2 linked regions of the Styela clava genome follow. The protein of the gene in region 1 interacts with the protein of each later gene in a pairwise test. Links are inferred from orthologs where the notes say so. Each region holds a gene or a part of one and is shown in the gene's direction. Other genes may lie near its edges. The genes, in order: DNA replication complex GINS protein SLD5-like and DNA replication complex GINS protein PSF1-like.

Region 1 (10,094 bases):
GTGTACGAAATGTCGCACAACCTGAAATAGTAAGTGTGCCAGGTTAGGGTTCAGGTTGTGCGTCATCTTGGTACGAATACTTTCGTAGCGCCGAAATTTGTAATTGCCAAGTTTGACAGCAACAGGTGATCTTGGCCGGAGGCCGCAAAACGCGAGTTTCTAAGAGAACTGATGTTGCTATGTGTGATACAGAATGTTTCTAGAAATCGAAACTGAATATGTCAGGATTTGCCAGGAATATGGGCATTAAATGGAAATTGCGGACTGAATGGATGTTTCCCCGAGCAATAGACTTCCTTGTTTACTTCGGACATTGGCCAATCAGCAAGATGCAAAGAGTGACGTGGTTTCGCATCCTCTCAGACACTTTTCTCGCTCGGACTGATTTTCAGGCGTCGTCGTAAACATTACCTCGTTTTCGCGTTTTTGAAATCTATTCGTTAATTTTTAGTTCTGTTTCGGATATTTAAATGTAAATCAAATAATTCAATGATCACTTTGTTTTCTTAGAAGTTTCAGTTTAACTGCAGTGAAAAAAAATTAGTGTACAAATAGCTGCAATAGACTAGGCTAAAATTCTTCACCGGTACTTTTACAAAACATATTATTGAATGCTATGAATCAGAATAATGGTTTGAAGCAAAATACCCCATTTTACAGGCGACAACTCGCAAAACCACTCTTTAAAAGGTCGGGAAAAGGTCCATAAATCGCCTTAGTCACAACCAATCACGTCGCTTCTACTTGACGGCATCCGGAGCAGCGATTATTCGGCGCGTGGCAAATCGCGCCTATTAGTCGTCGTTTTTACACATTCCAAAAGAGGGGAGGGGGGATTTGACCCTCTGGCTACGCCCCTGTTCGAAACTAAGCTTTCAACTTGATACATCACGATAGTGATGCTCAAATATATGGGCACGAAAATCAAAACGAAGTAGTACGAATATGCAATCTGTCATAGTAGACTACTCCACAACGCGCGCAATTGTTAATTTTGACTGGTATAGTTAATAGAGAAAGGCTATTTTTTCATCACAGAAACAAGAAAAAGATTCCCAATAATAACATAATAACAAAACGATCTGAGGTCCAACGATTTTAGACTCCAGACCGGCAACTTGAGTAAATTCTTCTGCAAGTCTGTGTACCTAATGCCGCAAATAGCAACAGTAACTATAGTTATTTCTGTGGTGTATTGAGGAAAAAGCAGCGATGAACGAGGCAAAGAAGTGCGTTTTCGCAACTGGAATATTAGCTCACCAATATTACCAAAACTCTCTAAACGGAATAACTTGTGAACTGGTAATGAACTATTGGGTTTTAAGACTTCGCCCAACAATGACAAATGCGCCTTAATTAACACTTTCAAGTACACAAGACTGCTAATTAAATTAAACGACATCCCGACTTCACAGCTATAAAAGACTATAAAACAATATCAAATATTCTAGCTGAAACAATGCGCAATCATAAAAATGCCTAATTTGAACAGACAGATGATTTGAGAGATCCGTTGTCGCCTCAATCCACTTGTTCCGCAATCCGGACAGAATCTACATGATAAAATAAAGTTAGATAGTTGCTGATCGTAAAGAGCAGTGGCGATCGCGCACAAGGGGCGTAGACAATTTTTTAGATTGCGTTTAGCTAATTAAAAATATAAATATTTGTTATATTGATCTCGCCTGCCTTATTTTAGATATTTACTTTCCTTTTACGTATTTTCAACATGTATTTTTGAATAAAGTATACTTTCGTTTAACTATCCGTTATTTATACAGCAAGTTATTTTTGAGGTGGGGCGCGAAACTTGACAAATTCTAAAAAGGTTCGCGGCTTAAACGTTAGCGGCTTAGACGTTCCAGGCAATCTGTCTGCTTGCCTTTTGTTAACTATATATATACCTGGTAATATGTTTTATGTATTTGCCTGTGAAACATCTGCCAATCACATGTGATGTTATTTGACATCAAAGTATCTTGCAAAGTTATGCCGATTCGGCGATACGAGAGAAACAGACCAGGCAAGGACAGCAGTTAACGGATGTACAACAGCGTGTTTTTATCACTTTTATTTCACCATTTCTTCTTCACCATACTATATTGCCATGCGGTTGGGCATAAATGTAAATAAATTAACAGTTACCTTATTAATCCTTGATCGCCTCTCTTCAACTAAACTTCCATGAGTCTTCGAGTCAGGAATTTGGAAACAATCATCGCTTTAATACTATGTTAATACTATGTTCCCAAAATTTTACCTATCAAAAACGAAACGAACTAGTTTCTGATCGGTTGAAAATAAACCTTCTTTCCGAGAAAGTAATAAATAAAGATAGAAAATTTATTCACAAAACAGAGTAATTCCAAAAGCCTTTAAATAACCCAACTCAACCCAAAATAGCACAGACAGAAAAGAAGAAAAAAAAGAGAGAGAAGGTAGGAAATATAGTGGGCAACCCGCAACTATCCCATTCGAGAATTCCCAATAGAACCTTCTGATTAAATATTGCTTTATATCGGAGTCCAGATTCTAGAAGTCTAATATAAAGTCGTCGACGGGACTATCGGATAAGTTCGCAGATAGAAGACCATTCATAGCAGCAACACAACTTTTACGTTACAGAATCAACAATTGTAGCTTAAACCTAGGTTTATCTGCATTAGTATAACTGAAAGATATGGAAAAAGAGAACGCTACTTTGGCCCACGTAAATTCTTAAAATGACAAAAAAATGTTTGGATATAAACAACAAAAGAAGTGACAAGAGAAGTAATTTAAAAAAAAAATTGGGCAAATAATATCACCTGTACTATATCCGGAACATCCCAACACAACCGCATCTCTGTTGAGTTTTTAATTCATCAATTATGTAGAATGTAGATCTCATTTATGAAATGGTCCAAACATCATTGCACAGGCATATCTTCCCAGGGGTCTTTGATTCAACCCAAGTATACTCTCAATTCAATCTAGTGCTATATTATGGCCTTGTTATAACTGTAATCCATAATTTAATGAATATTTATTTAACCGTAGCTTTTGTTCCGCTCAAGCAGTTTCAGATGTCAACATTCGCAGCATGTTTACGTTCAGTCAGTTTGTATAAACACTGAAATATGTAACATGGTTAAGATGCACTATATAGGTTGAATAAAAGCTAACATAAGCTAATAGTAAGATGAGGGCAATTCGTATATATGGAATATATCCAAAGTGTAAATTTGAATACGATTTCAGGTTTCTTACTTGTTCTAACTTGGGACATTTCATTGATCTCGATCGCCTCCATTTGTTTACGTCGTCGTCTTTGATTCAATAATTACACACTAGGTATCATTTAGTATTACGCTATGGGCTAACTAACTGAAAGAATGAAATTATCTCTAATAATCATTGCTGATTTAGATTATCTCACCAATTTCAGAACTTGTAATCTCAATTCCACTTTGTAGACATTTGGATCAATAACTGTAGGCCAAAGCTTAGTTTAATTGCATTAGTACAGCTATGAAAAATGGCTGAAGATACAAGCGTTGGATTATGAAAAAATTAGCGTATTATGAAAAAGTATGCACATAAACGATTGATCCTAAAAATTCACAAACATGAAATCAATGCTCACCTGACAGCGTCAACTTTGAAAAGACCGCCTGAGCGCAGAAAATTTTTGACGTGGCAAGAAAAAAGTGTGATTATAATAAAGAAACAAAGAGGGTGGAGGAGACCGCAAAATGATGATGCTTTTTCATTCGTTATCAGGAATCACCCCTTTTAACACTATATAGGGCACTCATCAGATCAATTTTGATGTATGGCATTGAAGCATACCATTTTACTTCGCCATATATTTTACAGAAGTTGCAAAAAATACAAAATACGTGTCTACGTATTTGCGGTGGCTCTATGAAGAGCACTCCAATAATATCACTTCAAGAGTCTTGTAACGAAATGCCGCTCCATATACAACATCTTAACTGTTGCCTTGCATACAAATGCTTGCTCCTTTCTCACAAGGATCATCCTAATGAATCACTCATTAAGCAGTCTTGGCATGAGTACTATCCAGACTCTGATTCTTTTGTAACCTTTAATATGCTCTCGACCTCTCGAATTTTTTCTAACATAGTTGTCAACAACACTAAATTTTTTCCCATTCCACCCTGGAATATGCCTCCGCCTGAAGTGGATACAGTTTTATCAACTATGTCTGTTACATACAACAATCCTACTGTTTTTGTGTTACAATGTTTGGAGTATATTGAAATGGAATATCCAGGTTACCTGGAGATCTATACTGACGGTTCAAAATCTGAAACTCGCTGTGGTTCTGCTTTTTTTATTCCAGAATACGAATTTTCGAATAAATTCCGCCTCGATCCATTATCTACTTCCTACTGTACGGAATTATATGCCATATATCGAAGTTTGATATGGATATCGCAAAATAGGCCTTCAAAAGTATTAATATTGTGCGATTGTCTTTCTGCCTTGGAAAGCATTCAGGATATTTGGAATGTTAAACATTTTTTATCAACAAAAATACAACTACTTTATACTATTATTTGTCACACGACCGATATCAAGTTTCTGTGGATACCAGCACATATTGGTATTAGCGGTAATGAGGCAGTGGATCGACTGGCGAAAGACGGAGCAAATAAAATTGTCATTAATGCTGTTCTTCAACGGTCTTTAAAAGAAGCTAAGACATTGTGCAAGCAAGCATGTCTTGCGAAATGGAATTTAACATATCAAGCAAACGATACTGCAAGCCATTACAAAAACTTTCGACCTCACATAGCCCATTAAATGATTAAGAAGAAATAATATTTTTTCGTCTTCAAACTGGACATATCAGACTTAACTATCATTTATTTAAAATAGGGCTACATCCCACAGGGCAATGTAGTCGATGTGACACAAATGAAACTGTTTCCCATTTTATTTTATATTGTCCCAAGTATAATAATTTACGATGCGAATTAAGACGTGAAGCAGCAAAAATGAATGTACCCTGGGAAATTATTAGTATTTTCAATGTTCCTAATTTGATTCCAATAATTATTAAATTTGCTATATCCACCAAACGAGAGTTGTAAACATGTTTTTATTGTATCATTCTGACTACTCCTTTTGAAATTTGGCGTAAAAGACCGAGTTGTCAAAGACGCCATTAAACCCTTTACCTTACCTTACATGTCTAGGCGACGTAAGAAAATAGCGAAACAACACTGAATAGAGCGCGAAGCGCGCAGTAGAGCGCAGAAGAACGCGAAACAGCGCAGAAGAGAGGGAAAGAGCGCAGAAGAGATGAAAACACTTTTCTTTCATTATTTGTTAGCGTCCGTGAAATTTTAAACAATTTGATGGGAAACAGTATACAGTGGTAGGGAATGATCACGAGTACCGGTATATATCCGTAATCTTCATCATCTTTAAATTGAATTCGCCATCTAGAAATACGGTCGCCACCGCAATTCTGATCACCCTGGTAGTTTCACAGATTCCAATACCATGCGGGGATAGTTATGTGCGATAGGGTTGCAGCTCTCCTCTCACTGAGGGTGGTTCACACGACGGCTGGTCGGTTACGTTACAACATCCCCCACTATCAAGTACATGCATCTGAAACAAATACCTGACTAACTAATCCCATACGGTATAGACTGGACAAGAGGCAATAGTTTACTATATGATTGAGTCGTATTATCGACCTTCCTCCTCCACCGGGATGGTATGGAAATTCAATCCTATCCCAGAAATGTACACTTGGCGCCGCAAGATGAAGCGCGCGAATATTCTAAGGGAATTCCCCAATGCGAGAAATCGGCTTGGTTATCTATCACAGGTTTCGCTCTGCAGATTAGTTCAAAAAAATAAAATAAAATTCACTAGTGTCTTGAGGTTGCTGGATTAAATGTCATCTCAGTAAATAATAGCTTATGCTATTGGTAAATATTGGTAAAACAGTAAAAGGTCAGCTGTTAAGGGACCTCGCGACGTGAGTGTTCGACAATCTCTCCCACATAACTGGTGTATTATTACAGTATTAATACGAGTACGAGTTTAAGATGTGCATATCTTGAGTCTATGAGTATTGTATGTTTAGATACCGGTAGTAGCCTAGTTATTGCTATAATAAAATATGGCCGATGATCTGAATATCAGTGATATATTGGCTCCTAATCAAAGTGATGCTGAGGAAGAACAATTGACAGCCGCAGAAGTATTAAAAAAGTTGGAACAGGTAAATTGGTAAAGGTCATACTGTCATATAAACATTTCTATTAACGCATGTTTAATCAGTTGCTACAAAATGTAAATTACAAATGACATCTCATATTCAAACGACTGTAAGATAATTTTTTAGTTTTTTGCATTTTCAATTTTTTGCAGGCATGGCAGAATGAAAAACTTGCACCGGATTTATTGGAATGTAAATCTGAAATTGTTGAATGCGTGATGGAACTTGTTGCGGAAATGGAAGGAAATTTGAAACAAGCTAAGAAGGGGGATATAAAGGTATGCTGTTTTATCGACATGTCAATTCAGGAAATAATATATTGATGTATTCAGAATTCAGAAGTAAATATGTGCATTTGATAAAGTCAGATGTATTTTTTTTTAATTTTTTTTTTTAAATTATTATTTCAATATACACAAGGGAATTTTATTATAGGATTGTAGACAGATAATTTTTGGATGACATTGGCTTATTGTGCATTAGGGTTTTGAATGAATTTGAATCAACTTCATTACAACAGTAGTTAACCCTTTCCATGCGATTTTTATTTTTTATTAAATAATCGTATTTGCTACGCCGACTTTATGCATTTGTACCCCAACAACTAATCGATCGACTAACGAAAAAGTATTGATCCTCTGCTGCTCACTGACGGCTCGTTGGAAAGCTTATTTAAAGAGCTTGCAATTGGCGATTAAAATTTTTTTTAAAAGGGGTGGTCTGAGTCACAAACCAGATAGAAAAAAGGCATTTTTTTCTTGGGTGTTGAAACTTCAAACCGTGATAAAAAATAGAAATATTCGCTAAATCCTCTACTGTTACCGCTTCTTGGTTGGCAAACAATAGCATAATATTGCTGTAGCAATTTCGTTATCTAACTCAAAATACTTTGGTAGATGGAAGGGATAATATGTCTTCTATTACACCCAAACACCCAAATTTGCATAAATTTCAAAAACACTCCCTCGTTCCGCCGCAAATAAAATTTCCATGGTAAACGAAAGCGAGATTTACCGTCGCCTATGTTAATCTCGAAGACTTATCAATAAACTAAAATCCGGAAAAACTAGACCAACAGTTTGCGACCGATTGCTAAATAAAACAGTGGAGTACATCAACGTACCCGCCGCAATCTAGCGAGTTTTGTCATGGGTACGTATACGTGCCCACCGCACGGAAAGGGTTAATGAATGTTTGTAATATGTTAATGGGCCTATTTCTTTCATTTGTCATTTATTATTGTTAATATTTTAGGTTAGTATTCACAGAATGGAACTGGATCGTATACGTTATGTTCTGAGTAGTTATCTGAGGTGTAGACTCAAGAAGATTGAGATACATGGACCAGTATTTCTTGAAAGAGAAAAAACAAGATCTGAAGATGAACCATCCAGATTATCTCCAGAAGAATTTGCTTTTGCAAAAGAGTGAGTCGTTTAATTCTGAATTATAAATCACTGTTGACCTGATTTTAAGTTGGGATCGTGGAGTCCTTGATATCCATTTTCCATCAATTTTATTTTACCTATGCTCGGGGGTAAGACAGAGTGCTTCATTGGTAAATCTCCACTTGACGAGGTAATGCCATTTCGTGTTATTATAAGCATCTTTATTTTTATGAATGTTTGTCATACATGAATTACGTGTGTATATTCCACACCATTTAGTATAAAAGAGCTGAGGAACCTGGCAAGGTATTGAGCATTGCATTTTTTTTTGAAACATTCCTTCCTCACTACACTTAAGAACTCTGCTATTGTATGTTGTTGGATCATTAGCAAATGATATGCGTAACTTGCAATCTGGATTTTTCAATATTTTGAATGATTGTATGACTAGATATTCCAAAAATGCTAAAAAAGTCATCAATTTCAAAGTAAAATTTCTTTCCAAAAACAATCAAATTTATCTCCAGGTTGGATAAATTGTCGACCTAGTGTGTCAATCCACGTTTTTTGGACTCATTAAACTTCTCTACTTGACTGTACCCGAGTTACTTCAATTGGACATTAAAGTTTATTATGTCCTCCAACCCAATTATATATATACGTAAGGTGTATTGTTGATGTTGCTACCTGCAGCTTTTGTTTTGTTCAGGCTTTCTGCAAATATAGAAACGCATATGAAAACAGTTGCGCTCAATCATATGCCAAGAGTAATGCAGAATGTAGAGCTTTCAACAACAGGTGAGAACACTGTTTGTAGCTACATTTTTGTCGCAGTTCAATTGTGATAGCCAGAAAATTTTAACCAAGTGTGTGTGTGGATATTGTGTAAGAGAGATTTACAATTTCTGTGGTCAATGAGTGGTTTTTAACTTGTGTTATGAGGGTATGACCATACCTGACAGTATATCTCATTACTGGACACATTGTGTATGGGACGATGATTCTAGTTGGTATATTTTTTCAATGGGACTCACAAGCTATTGTTCGATTTGGTAGCTTGTCTGGGAATATGTAGTAGAATGAATTATATATACAATTTTTACAGCCTAATTAACGATTCTTCATCTTCCAAATTTAGTAACACCAAATTTAACCATATAAGCATTTATGGAGTGAAAAGTGAAATTTTACATGCTAACATTTTCTCTGTGGCAGAATAAAATGTACTTGTGCATAGTCTGCTACAGAGCTTGAGGTGTACAAATACCCTTATTAAAAAATTTCTATTTCGTTACAGTTCACGCACCAAACCTCGACCATTATGTATTCCTAAAAGCGATTCGAAAAGAAGATGGTGTTATTGTAGAGGAAGACGCAGATGATCAGACATCAGATAGAGTAGATTTAGATGAAGGATCACAATTTTTAATCAGATATAAACCTATTGCTGAACTGGTACAAAATGGAGCTGTGATATTGTTATGATTACTGATGTTGATAAGGACTCATGGCAACGCGCACTGTGATATGTTCGAGGAAGCTCTCAATGGAAGAAACCTTGCTGCGAAGCTAAGGATGAAGGCTTGTTTCCACTGGTTGAAAATGAACAGCTTTCAGTTGTATGGATAGCTCGATACTGTACTGTATTTTCTAAAGATTTTTGTGAGGAATTTCTGTTTAAATGCTGTAAAGTTTATTTTTCTGTAACTTTGATTACTTGAAATTAAAGTATTGGTTTGAACCTCTTCTACTGGCGATTGACATTCTGAGCAAAATGTCTTCTTCCAATCATATTACTTTTTACACATATATTAAATTTCATGGTACAATGTGGCCCAATTTTTGGAGTCTGGTTATGGTGTGGTGTTGGCTAAAAGTTCAAAACCTCGCTGCTGTTGCAAGTAGAGGTCCGATTCATAGTAGATTTCATAGCAATGCGATGAACAAGTTTGAGTGACAGTAATACTTGGGACTGTCAATAAAATTTTCCTTGGAAACCACAATTTAATCATGTATAGACAACGTTCTACTCAGCACCAACACGACATATTTAGAGTAATTGCAGAAAATTTTTTTCTTCAATTGTGATTTGAAGGAATCTTTTTGGCAGTAAGTTGAAGACGTTTCTTTTAGGTGAGTCAATACTTTGAAATGGACCTTTTCAGCCGTAAAATTGTGTATTCAAACTGGAGAAACACCATATAACATATGTACTAATGAATTTGATGATTGTAGCATTGTTAACCACGCACATACTAATTTACTTTTGTAAACATACTTAGCTTCAAACGTGTTCTGTGCACAGGTAAACTAACCTTTTCATTCTATTCTTATCAAGATCATTTTTTCCCTTTTATCCACTGATGGAACTTCGCAGAATTAGTATGAATATCCTGCTATACATAAGAAATAGATTCACATTGAACCACTCAAATTTTATTCAATGGGTATTACATGAA
Region 2 (9,531 bases), on another chromosome or scaffold:
TGAAACATCTGTAAAGTAAATAAATTAAAATGAGTTCTCCTAACCACTGTCAAATTGGTTCTAAAACACCATGATGACGTTTGAATTATTATTATTTTATTGTATGTATAAGTAAGTTTTTACAGAAGTTTTCACAAAGTTAATAAGGATTGTAACATCCTGTCGCATAATGAACATATTGCATAATACTCTCAAGTGGATAAAACAGTGATTTTGAAATTTGGGGTAATTTGGCAATTATTAGGGGGTAATCCAGACGTTCACTGTCTTTATAATTTCTTTGTAATCCCCATAATTTTGACTAGTTTGCGGGAAGGATGGACATTTAATGATCGCAACTGGTCAATGAGCCTAGTCATCTAGTCGTTCATAGGAACATAATAACAATACTTCATCGTAGGCTGAAATGCTGAGCTAGCGCAAGTCGAATCCGAAGATGTAATAGGTGTTAGTATTATCGCCATCTTCGATCAAATAAAAAGTGATATCGATATGACTAGTGTATTTTATGGAAGGGGTAATTAAGATCTTGGTAATTCGATTTAGGGGAAACAATATTAAAAAGTTTGGAAACCCTGGAATAAAGGACCCCTAGACTAAAAAAAAGCTTTGTTCAACTCAAGTCAACGCACATGTATTATTAGCTCCAGTAAATTATTTTCATCCACAGCTTTCCTTTTATTTTTCAAGCAAAAAAAAGCTCAACTAACCAAAACTTTTCTTTTTCCCAATGGCTCTCAATTTATTCATCACCTTTTTGATATGCCTGGGTGTGTTACCAGTTGAATGTGATTCTGAAACAGATGATTTCTCACATAGAAGCTAAAAAAGAAAAAAGAATTGTTCAAAATTACGTCCAGCACAAAATGAGTTATCTAGCACCTCCTTATATATATGATTCCCCATAATTATCATTTTTGTGGCTAATAAATATATTGCTTAGCATTTCAAGATTGGCACAGACATGTTTTTAATAGATGATTGTATTGCATTTCATCTTGACTAGAGCCCTTTAAATATAATTTTCTGCATAAAAAATTACACTTGACTAGCAGTAAGCCTTGTATGAATAACCTACAAATCAAACCCTAGGTTCCTTTATGGAAGTTCAATAGCCCTTCACTGGGGAGGTCATTCATATGTCAATTGGGGCTTTATACTGCTATTCCTAACTTCGATGTCAAGCTTCTGTAACATCCATGAATACACACATGAACTATATACCAATGAAATCACTTCTAGATATTATTTCCTCTCTGATACTGGTTGATACTATTCAGAGGTTATCAAAAACTTGCCAAATTTATATGATTTAGTAAAAAGTTAGTAAATAGAATTACGAATATAACTAGAATTATAAAAAAAACTTACGGAAGCACGTGATAAAAGTTGGTCACCAACGTCAAGTAATTTAATTCTTTTATTTTTTTTGTTATCTTCTGAAAATAAAAAAATAGGTTCGGTTATGAAAAAAAACTATGAACACAAGCAACTTACCATACTACATAATATATCAAACCTACTAGATTTTATAGGAGACAAATCCTGCATTTCAATATCTTCTATACCAGCTTCTGTAGCACTTTGATTCATTGTTGAATTCTTTATGTTAAAATGAAGGGTATCTTCTAGATTATTTTGCGCTGGACTAGAGTCTGGTTTATTGATGATGATGTCTGGTAGTATAACATTTTCTGGAAGAAAGTAAAGTTATAGAAATATTTGATTGATTGGAAAAAAAACTAAAAATCTAAAGTTCGTTATAATGTTAGAGATAATGAGACGTTCGCTCAAGCATGTGGCGCCAACCTAAGCACATACTGGTGCAACATGCACAACAGCGGACAATGCCCAAAACTATTATTTAGAAGGCTGAGCTGAATTTTCATGTGTAATTGGAATTGTGTGGGATTATTGGGGGCAATGTATCTAGGTACGAGCAGGAACTTGATTACATTACAATTTACAAGCAATCCTTGAAATTATGACAAAAGCATGAAGTTTGGCTGAAGATGAATGAAGATTAGCAATGCTAATTATGGCAAGTTCATAAACCATGCCTTAATTAAAGACAATTTATGTTGGTAAATTTTGCAACAATACTATTGCATATGTATGAGAATACAATAAAATCTCAACAGCTCATGTCAAAAAAAGTGTATATATTTAACTTGGCAAAATAAATTACCAGTCGGCATAACAGAACAGGCATCCCGCGTTTCTTCAATAGATGAATCTGTATGAAAAACCAGATATGAAGTTTAAAATCAAAAACACATTTTCAGTGCACAAATAAATGCACAAAGTTGTTCAATGTTTACCTCTCTCCATGTATTGATAAACAAGCTTGAATTGAGACATTATCAGATAACTAGGCAGCCAACACATAATCATTTTTCGAATTTGCTCAAGTAGGATTAATCACAAAGTATAACAGTGTCCGACCCGCAGCCCGCAGACAAATTCATTCGACACTGAACCTCAATCATTGAATAATTCGACACTAAACCTCACTCAGGCATTTACAACAGAATTTACCGTAGGTAGAATTCACCCAAGTGTATTGTGATGCAATATTCGACCGAAATCATGCAGCATATTATAGGCTTGATGCTACAGAAACAAGGTTATGTCTGGAACGACAAGAGAGGACGCTTGTGAATAAAATCCGACAGTTACAAAAAAGTTGGGAAGAATCATATCTCTTTTTGTTCAAGTAAACTACAAAATTAACCTGTAATTCATGACATATTATTTAATGTGCGCCTGTGACAAAACTGAAATGTAATATGCAGCCCGAGAAGGTTTTTAGTTGGAAATGGCTGACATGGTATCACACAATAATGTTTTGCAACCTGTGACCCAATAAATAAAATAAAATAATCTGATAACCTCTAAAAACATAATGATCTGGCAGTCATTGCAGATTTTGTGGTCTTCACCTAGTTCTCTCGATTATATTACATTTAGCAATATATGACAATTATATAGACTGCGCTAATCTACTGCACCACGGGATGCTTAATACAGTGATGTACAGAATGAACTCAGTTAAGTACCGATATTTGATAAATCGAAAGTAAATAATTTTCAAACAATCAAATTAGGGTGAAGATTAAACATGCTCAATGGAATAATAGATGACATTAATTTATTATCACTTAGTGTTTGTGATGTTTATGGTTAAGATATTTCATTCCCATTTTACAAATAATATACCGTCATGCTTGCTTAGAGTTACACAATAACACAAATAACAATAGCCTATCAGACACATTTAAAGAAATGAGTTGCATAAAATCAAAAAAGGTTGAAATATTCGGAAGCATGGAGAAACCAGTGTTTCTTTTAACTTTGTTCAGATCAATGCAATATCCCCGGATACAAAATAATCATGATCAATATGGTGGAATGTGCATTTTTGCTCTGATAAACACCCAAATGCAAGGTTGATAAATTTTCAGTAAAATACCTGAATCAGTACTAAAACCAGCATCAAGACCAACATCCTCTATCATACATAATGTTGACATTCCACTTTGTGTTTCTTGTGTGGAACTCAAAGAAGAATTAGCAATTGGTTGATTCACTCCAGTTTTGGTCTTCTGAAATCATTGAGAAATTGCATGAAACCATTGCATAGTTATTATTGTTGAGTATTGTATTTTGGTTCATATTCAAATGGTCCCAGGAACGATTTGGGAATAAGAATGGATATAAAAAGAATTTTAATCACAATGTTCGAAATACCATTTTATGAAAACCTGAATCCTGAGGGCTATTCTTGACAGTAACTATTGAAAATGTTCGTTTTTTGAAAGCATGGTCTCAATCATTTGAACCTGAGTGCCTTGGACGCTTGAAATTTGAGTGAAATAAAAGAGCATTAGTAGGGTTGAAGGGACTTCGTGAACCTTCAAGTGTGAATGGTTTGTTTATTAGGAATGGGAATTTTAAAAGACAAACAATAGGCTATAATAGGGGTACAAAAGGGGTATAAAAGTTTTTGACAGTTCAACACCATGTGTGGTACGTTATCAGAGAAAATGTGAGATTTGAAAGGATTTGTATAGATGAGGCTTGTCTGCAACTGTTGATTATTCAAACGCTGCAAGAAGCAATACATAATCATGGGCACTTAAAATCGAAGCTGCTTTCCATTTGCGGGGGACCTCAATCAGACATATAAGAGCAGTTGCACCAGGTCTGCCATGAGATAAAGAAGTTCATTATTTTATGACTCATGTCATAATTCTGCAGAATGCGTTATTAAACTATCTAAAAAAAAAAATTTTAATATCTGTAGCCAACCATATTTTAAGCAGTAATTGTTGTAAAAATATTGGATTTCAAGACTTTTAAATAACATTTTCAGTATCAACACTTGAAACAGTGGTTGGTCAATAATACAGATTATAGTCTGTAACAGTTCAATAAATTCATAAAATTGATACATAAATATTGGTGCAGAAGTAAGCAAGTGGTGGTAAAGTTATTTTAATGGTGTAACCACATGTGATCAACTTTACCTTGCTCTGACGATTTCTTGGTCTTTTAATCAGAGACAAGCTATCCTGGAGGTTGCAGCCAACATTCATTTGGAAATGAAGAAAATTTTGTCGCATCTTCGGGATTTTGCGCTTAAAATTCATCTTTGGTATTAGTGAAACTTACTAAGATTAAATGGAGACTAGTTTCAGACTGACCAACAGACAGATCAATTTAAGGTTTATAGAGTCTGAGAGTAGAATAAACTTGCACATGAATAAGATGAATTACCTGTCAAGTACACGCATTTAGTAAGAGCAAAACATTTGGTCGACGCATGACAGTCGGCCATGGTAAAATAAAGTCCAGAAAGATTTGGGAAAATCGATTGTTACTGTATACCAGTATTCATTCATTTGTTTTTTGAATAACTTATAAAAACAAATAGATTAAGTGTCAGTGTTTTTTGCCAGGGTATTACGAGTAGTTGGTGAAAATAGTGTAATTATTGGACAATTTCAACCAAAATGAAACAATCTGTATGAGAGTGATACAATTCACGCCCGTATTTTTTTGTAAAATGACAGGGTGTAAAAGTTTCGAACACATTGCGAACACGAAAAAGTTCGTAGAGTCGTTACTTTCCAATCGAAATGTTGGATATTTCTGAAAATAATACGGGCACGTTATGTCTCCTAATCGACGACGAGAGACGACCGCTTGCTTTACGTTTTCTTCACGGGTCACTAAGAATGTCCAACAACAAGTCGCGCGATTTTTTCGACGTCTTGTTGCTGTTTTCTTCTGTCGGTCGTGTTGGTTGGATGTGAATTTATGAATTAAGTGACAGGTTGGAATGACAGGATGAGTTGTCTATCAAGGGAAAGTATTTATGAAATTTACATTTATTAATGAACTTTATGTAAGTTAAGCATGCATTTTGTGTTAGGTTTAGAAAAAGTCAAGTGGCAGGAATCGACTGCAGGACAGTTATTTCGACATCTGCGCGAAAATGCGACCGTGGGCCAAAGTTTTTCCCTTATTTGTCAAAGTTTTCTCTTTTTCATCACCTTCGAAAATTCATATGGCCTGTTGCACATGGAGTTTTGGCGTTCGTACAATCCTTTTATTGAGAATCTCCTAATTTTTTTCCTTCAAATAAAAATGATTGCTTGGTTTGATTTTGCATGTGACAATACAGCAATAAATATCGTACAGGAGTACAGCTGAATGTCATCAGGACATGGTGAATCTTGGTCATTTCAGGGCTGCTGCGCCAGAAGGAAAACCACATTTTTGCTCCAATCTATTGTGTCTCAATTGTTTCTTTCCCTATATAGATTTTTTCCAAATCATATATAAAGATTTCTACAAATCCCTAATTTGTTTAATTTCTTTAAATTATCCATTGTTTTTTTATTTTTAACTTGTTTTAAATCGCAGTCTCATAATGACCAGTTCTGGTCCCAACTTACTGTCAATTTCTGAACTGCCGGTAAATGCTTTTTATGGGTACATTAGGTTGTTCAACTGTGTCTTGGCCAGTAAGGCATTGAACATGTATCCCCTCTCTGTTATACTGTTTAATTATTATGTGGATACTTTCACATTTTTTGAGGCTTATGAACATACATATATGGCCTATTAAGATTTAAATCTTTGGTTTACACAGTAATAACAAATATTAGATTGGCTGACCAAAATGTCCCACAGGTATGTATATAAAATATTTTTTCCACTGCAGAATAAAATAAATCTGTTTCATTTTAATGAAAACTTTTGAGCTAAGCACACCTTCAGTCTGCAATATAAATTGAAAAGTAGCTGTTCTAGATTCGAATGGTCTTGAAAGCCTTCTATAATGTTTGGTGAGAAAGGCTTAGAACTCATTAGAGACTTGTACAGGAATAAAGATGGACCGATAACGCCTTACAATGTGAGTTTTTTTAAATTTCACTCACACCTTTAAGGCCTAATATGAGCAGCAGCCTGCTAACTTTTAAATTCAATATATTTATATATAAAAAGTTTCTTTGGTAACAAGGCTGTGGTATTTTCATCGGGTGTTTACATATCTTGGCTCCGAACAAGACTCATTACAGGCAGTTGCTATGTTTCAGGTTCAAGTGAACCTTATAAATTTCATTGTACACTTGGTGAAAGGATTGGCATTGGATTTGAACCCTAGCTGTGAGAGTTGAAAAGTCTCTTCTAATGTTTTGCTTATTGTTATTTTGCAGGAAGATGGAGTTAGACAAGTACTAGAAGAAATGCAAGTTCTTTACGACTCTAATCAAAAAGATGTGTAAGTTGGACAATGAATGGAACCTATTCTACCAATCAATATTCATATATGAGAGTTGCCTTAGCAACATCACACATATAAAGCAAATAAAAAATAATGTTATGGTAAAAAGGTGTCCATAGTATCAGAGATTATAAAAGATATGCCCATTGGAAGTGAAAACAGTATAGCATATGGCATTCTCATTTGTCAACGAGGTTAATAAAGAAATTCAAATCAGTCTGCTGTGGGTTAGTTCACAAGTATCATAAGCATGGTCTACTCTTAAAACAAATTTTCTTATTCGAATTAAAAGATTAATTAATAAGATATGATCTCCTGAATATACTTATGTGTCGTACAATAACCTATTTGATTTGAACAATGTTTTTTAATGCCAGTGCTGAGTTAGTGAATCCAGATTCAGATCGAAGTAAAATGGCAGCAGTTAAAATACGACACAGTGGATTGGAACGAAACAAGCGTTGCCTGCTGGCCTATTTGTATGTATTATTTTGCTTAAAATATCTGTGTATAACAATCTGTTGAAGTCCTTTTAATATTAAAATTGAAGATTTCAAAACATTGACCGGGCTTGATAACTAGTACCTGACATGACTTTAGGGTGATAAATAAGCCCCTTACATTCTCTTAAGTTACCAACAAGCTATTTTGTCAGATTGCAACAGATGAATGCAGATGCAAAAATCATTTTTCAGGTATAATAGACTTCATAAAATCAGAGATATGAGGTGGGAATTTGGTAGTGTTTTACCTCCAGAAATCAAGAGTAATTTATCGGAGAAAGAAGTGAGTATAATCTATACATGTAGGCTACTTAATTGTGCTTTTTCATGTTTGTATCAATTTCAAAATAATTTTTATCTAAATAATTTTCAAGTATATTTACTAGTTTATCAATCATATAGCATAGTAATAAGCTATATTTGTAAATACTCCGAAACAGCTATGAAGTACTGAAATAGTATTTTGTAATTGGAGTAACTAATTTATAACAAAATGGTTTTGTGACCTATGATAAAATATTTCTTACCAGGTTTATTTCAATATAATGCTTTTGTCATAATTAAATATTATAGTCATTCACAGATTCGTTGATTACAATCACCATCAAAACTTTGTACGAAATGCCATTGTAAGTATGTCAATGAGTCTAACTCCAGTTGGCAATAAAAGTTGTGTTTTTCTATCAAATCAGATTCAATGGTTTACGAGATACAACAGATCTCTTGCCAACTACATGCGATCCATCGGTGGAATGGGTGGTCTTGATCTAACACAGGTTGGTATCAAAGATGGATAGCAAAACCAAATCATTTACTCTTCTAATTTTAGATTATGGAATATCGAATATGTACTGGATTGGTGGAGTAATTTTCAGAAATTATTGTGAATTGGATTTTTTATGCAAAATATTTGAGATATGATTGAATTCGATTTTATTGCGGCAGAAGTTGAATTAGTTCATGTCAAATGCTTATAATGAGCGATAAATTTCCAAACAGGAATAATTTAATTTACCGCTTTAAATTATATATATTGAATACTAATTTGAATGCTTTCTATCTGAATATTTCTAAATAAAAGTAAAGAATTCTTTCCATAATAAAGCTGTGTGTATATTTTTTCAAATTGTATTCGAAATAGTAAAATATTGGGTTTTGGCCATTCCTGTATATTATATTATTATTTTCTTGCATTTTTCTGATTCAATTTCATTTATATTCAGGACATGACGCCACCCAAGTCATTATACATTGAAGTTAGGTGTGTGGAGGATCATGGACAATTTGAAATGGATGATGGAACTGTGGTTTTGCTAAGAAAAAACAGCCAACATTTTCTACCTCGATCACAATGTGAACATTTGATTAGGCAGGGGATTCTAACTCATGTCACATGAATGGTTGAGCTAATGCCTTATTGATTTGAATAGGGGTTTTGGTTACCATGCCAGTGAAGTTGGTGGATGAATATGCAGCCTAGACGACGCTGCAGCATGTGATATTTTCTACTGTACCGATGGCCAAATAATACTTTGTTAGAGCTTTAGGATGAAATTTTGTACTTCATGAGAACAATATATATCTGTCTGACTTGAGTCCAGATTGCATTTATTGTAGGCTTGGCAGTGTGACACATCATGCTTAGAGTTGGAAATGCTCTCGCCACCGCACCTATGATTACCTAGTGTTCAACTAGAGAGCGCATCTCCCTTCTGGCAGTTTTATGGAAACTAAACCAAAACTATAATGTAGAAGCTTTCAATGACTGGAAATATTTTTAAAACATGACAACCTGCCTGGCATATTCAAATCGTGTAGTCCCTCAATGCTCAGTTATTTAAAAGGTAATAAAAATACTACATATTTTTTGCCCCGCAATCCATATCTTTTGACTTATGTACATGAAACCATTGTAAACAGCAATGCATCATAGGCTGTTAGAACTAAATAACCACTGCAGTTCTCTGCGAGCCCTTTACCTGTGTCTAATAATATTGTTTTGTTTCTCTTTATTAGTGTATCATTTACACATGGTAATGAATAAAATACTGCTTCTCTCTTCTACTACCCTCTAAAACAAGAGTGGGCAAGGTTTTTTGGACTATGGGCCAACAATTTTGCCCACCTAGACTGGCAGGCCATGTAACTGTGGCGTAAAAAATTACATTTTATGAACAATATTTACAGAGCAACAAAAGCAAACATAGAAAACAATAAGCCTTGTTCCAAAAC

Evidence for each region.
Region 2: the proteins of DNA replication complex GINS protein SLD5-like (region 1) and DNA replication complex GINS protein PSF1-like interact in a two-hybrid assay, tested with the Drosophila melanogaster proteins (2 studies listed by BioGRID). The link is inferred for Styela clava from reciprocal best matches to the Drosophila melanogaster genes Sld5 and Psf1.

Annotation. Positions count from the first base shown.
Region 1 is NC_135258.1:9,239,214-9,249,307, reverse strand, and holds DNA replication complex GINS protein SLD5-like, read left to right. Parts: upstream 1-6,056; 5' UTR 6,057-6,148; coding exon 6,149-6,250; intron 6,251-6,399; coding exon 6,400-6,525; intron 6,526-7,501; coding exon 7,502-7,674; intron 7,675-8,344; coding exon 8,345-8,433; intron 8,434-8,932; coding exon 8,933-9,120; 3' UTR 9,121-9,380; downstream 9,381-10,094.
Region 2 is NC_135253.1:5,300,180-5,309,710, forward strand, and holds DNA replication complex GINS protein PSF1-like, read left to right. Parts: upstream 1-5,690; 5' UTR 5,691-6,349; coding exon 6,350-6,424; intron 6,425-6,728; coding exon 6,729-6,793; intron 6,794-7,173; coding exon 7,174-7,275; intron 7,276-7,491; coding exon 7,492-7,582; intron 7,583-7,991; coding exon 7,992-8,075; intron 8,076-8,522; coding exon 8,523-8,696; 3' UTR 8,697-8,892; downstream 8,893-9,531. Other genes in the region: uncharacterized protein LOC120326422, read right to left, coding at 1-8, 711-822, 1,372-1,439, 1,524-1,694, 2,189-2,236, 3,473-3,605, 4,530-4,652.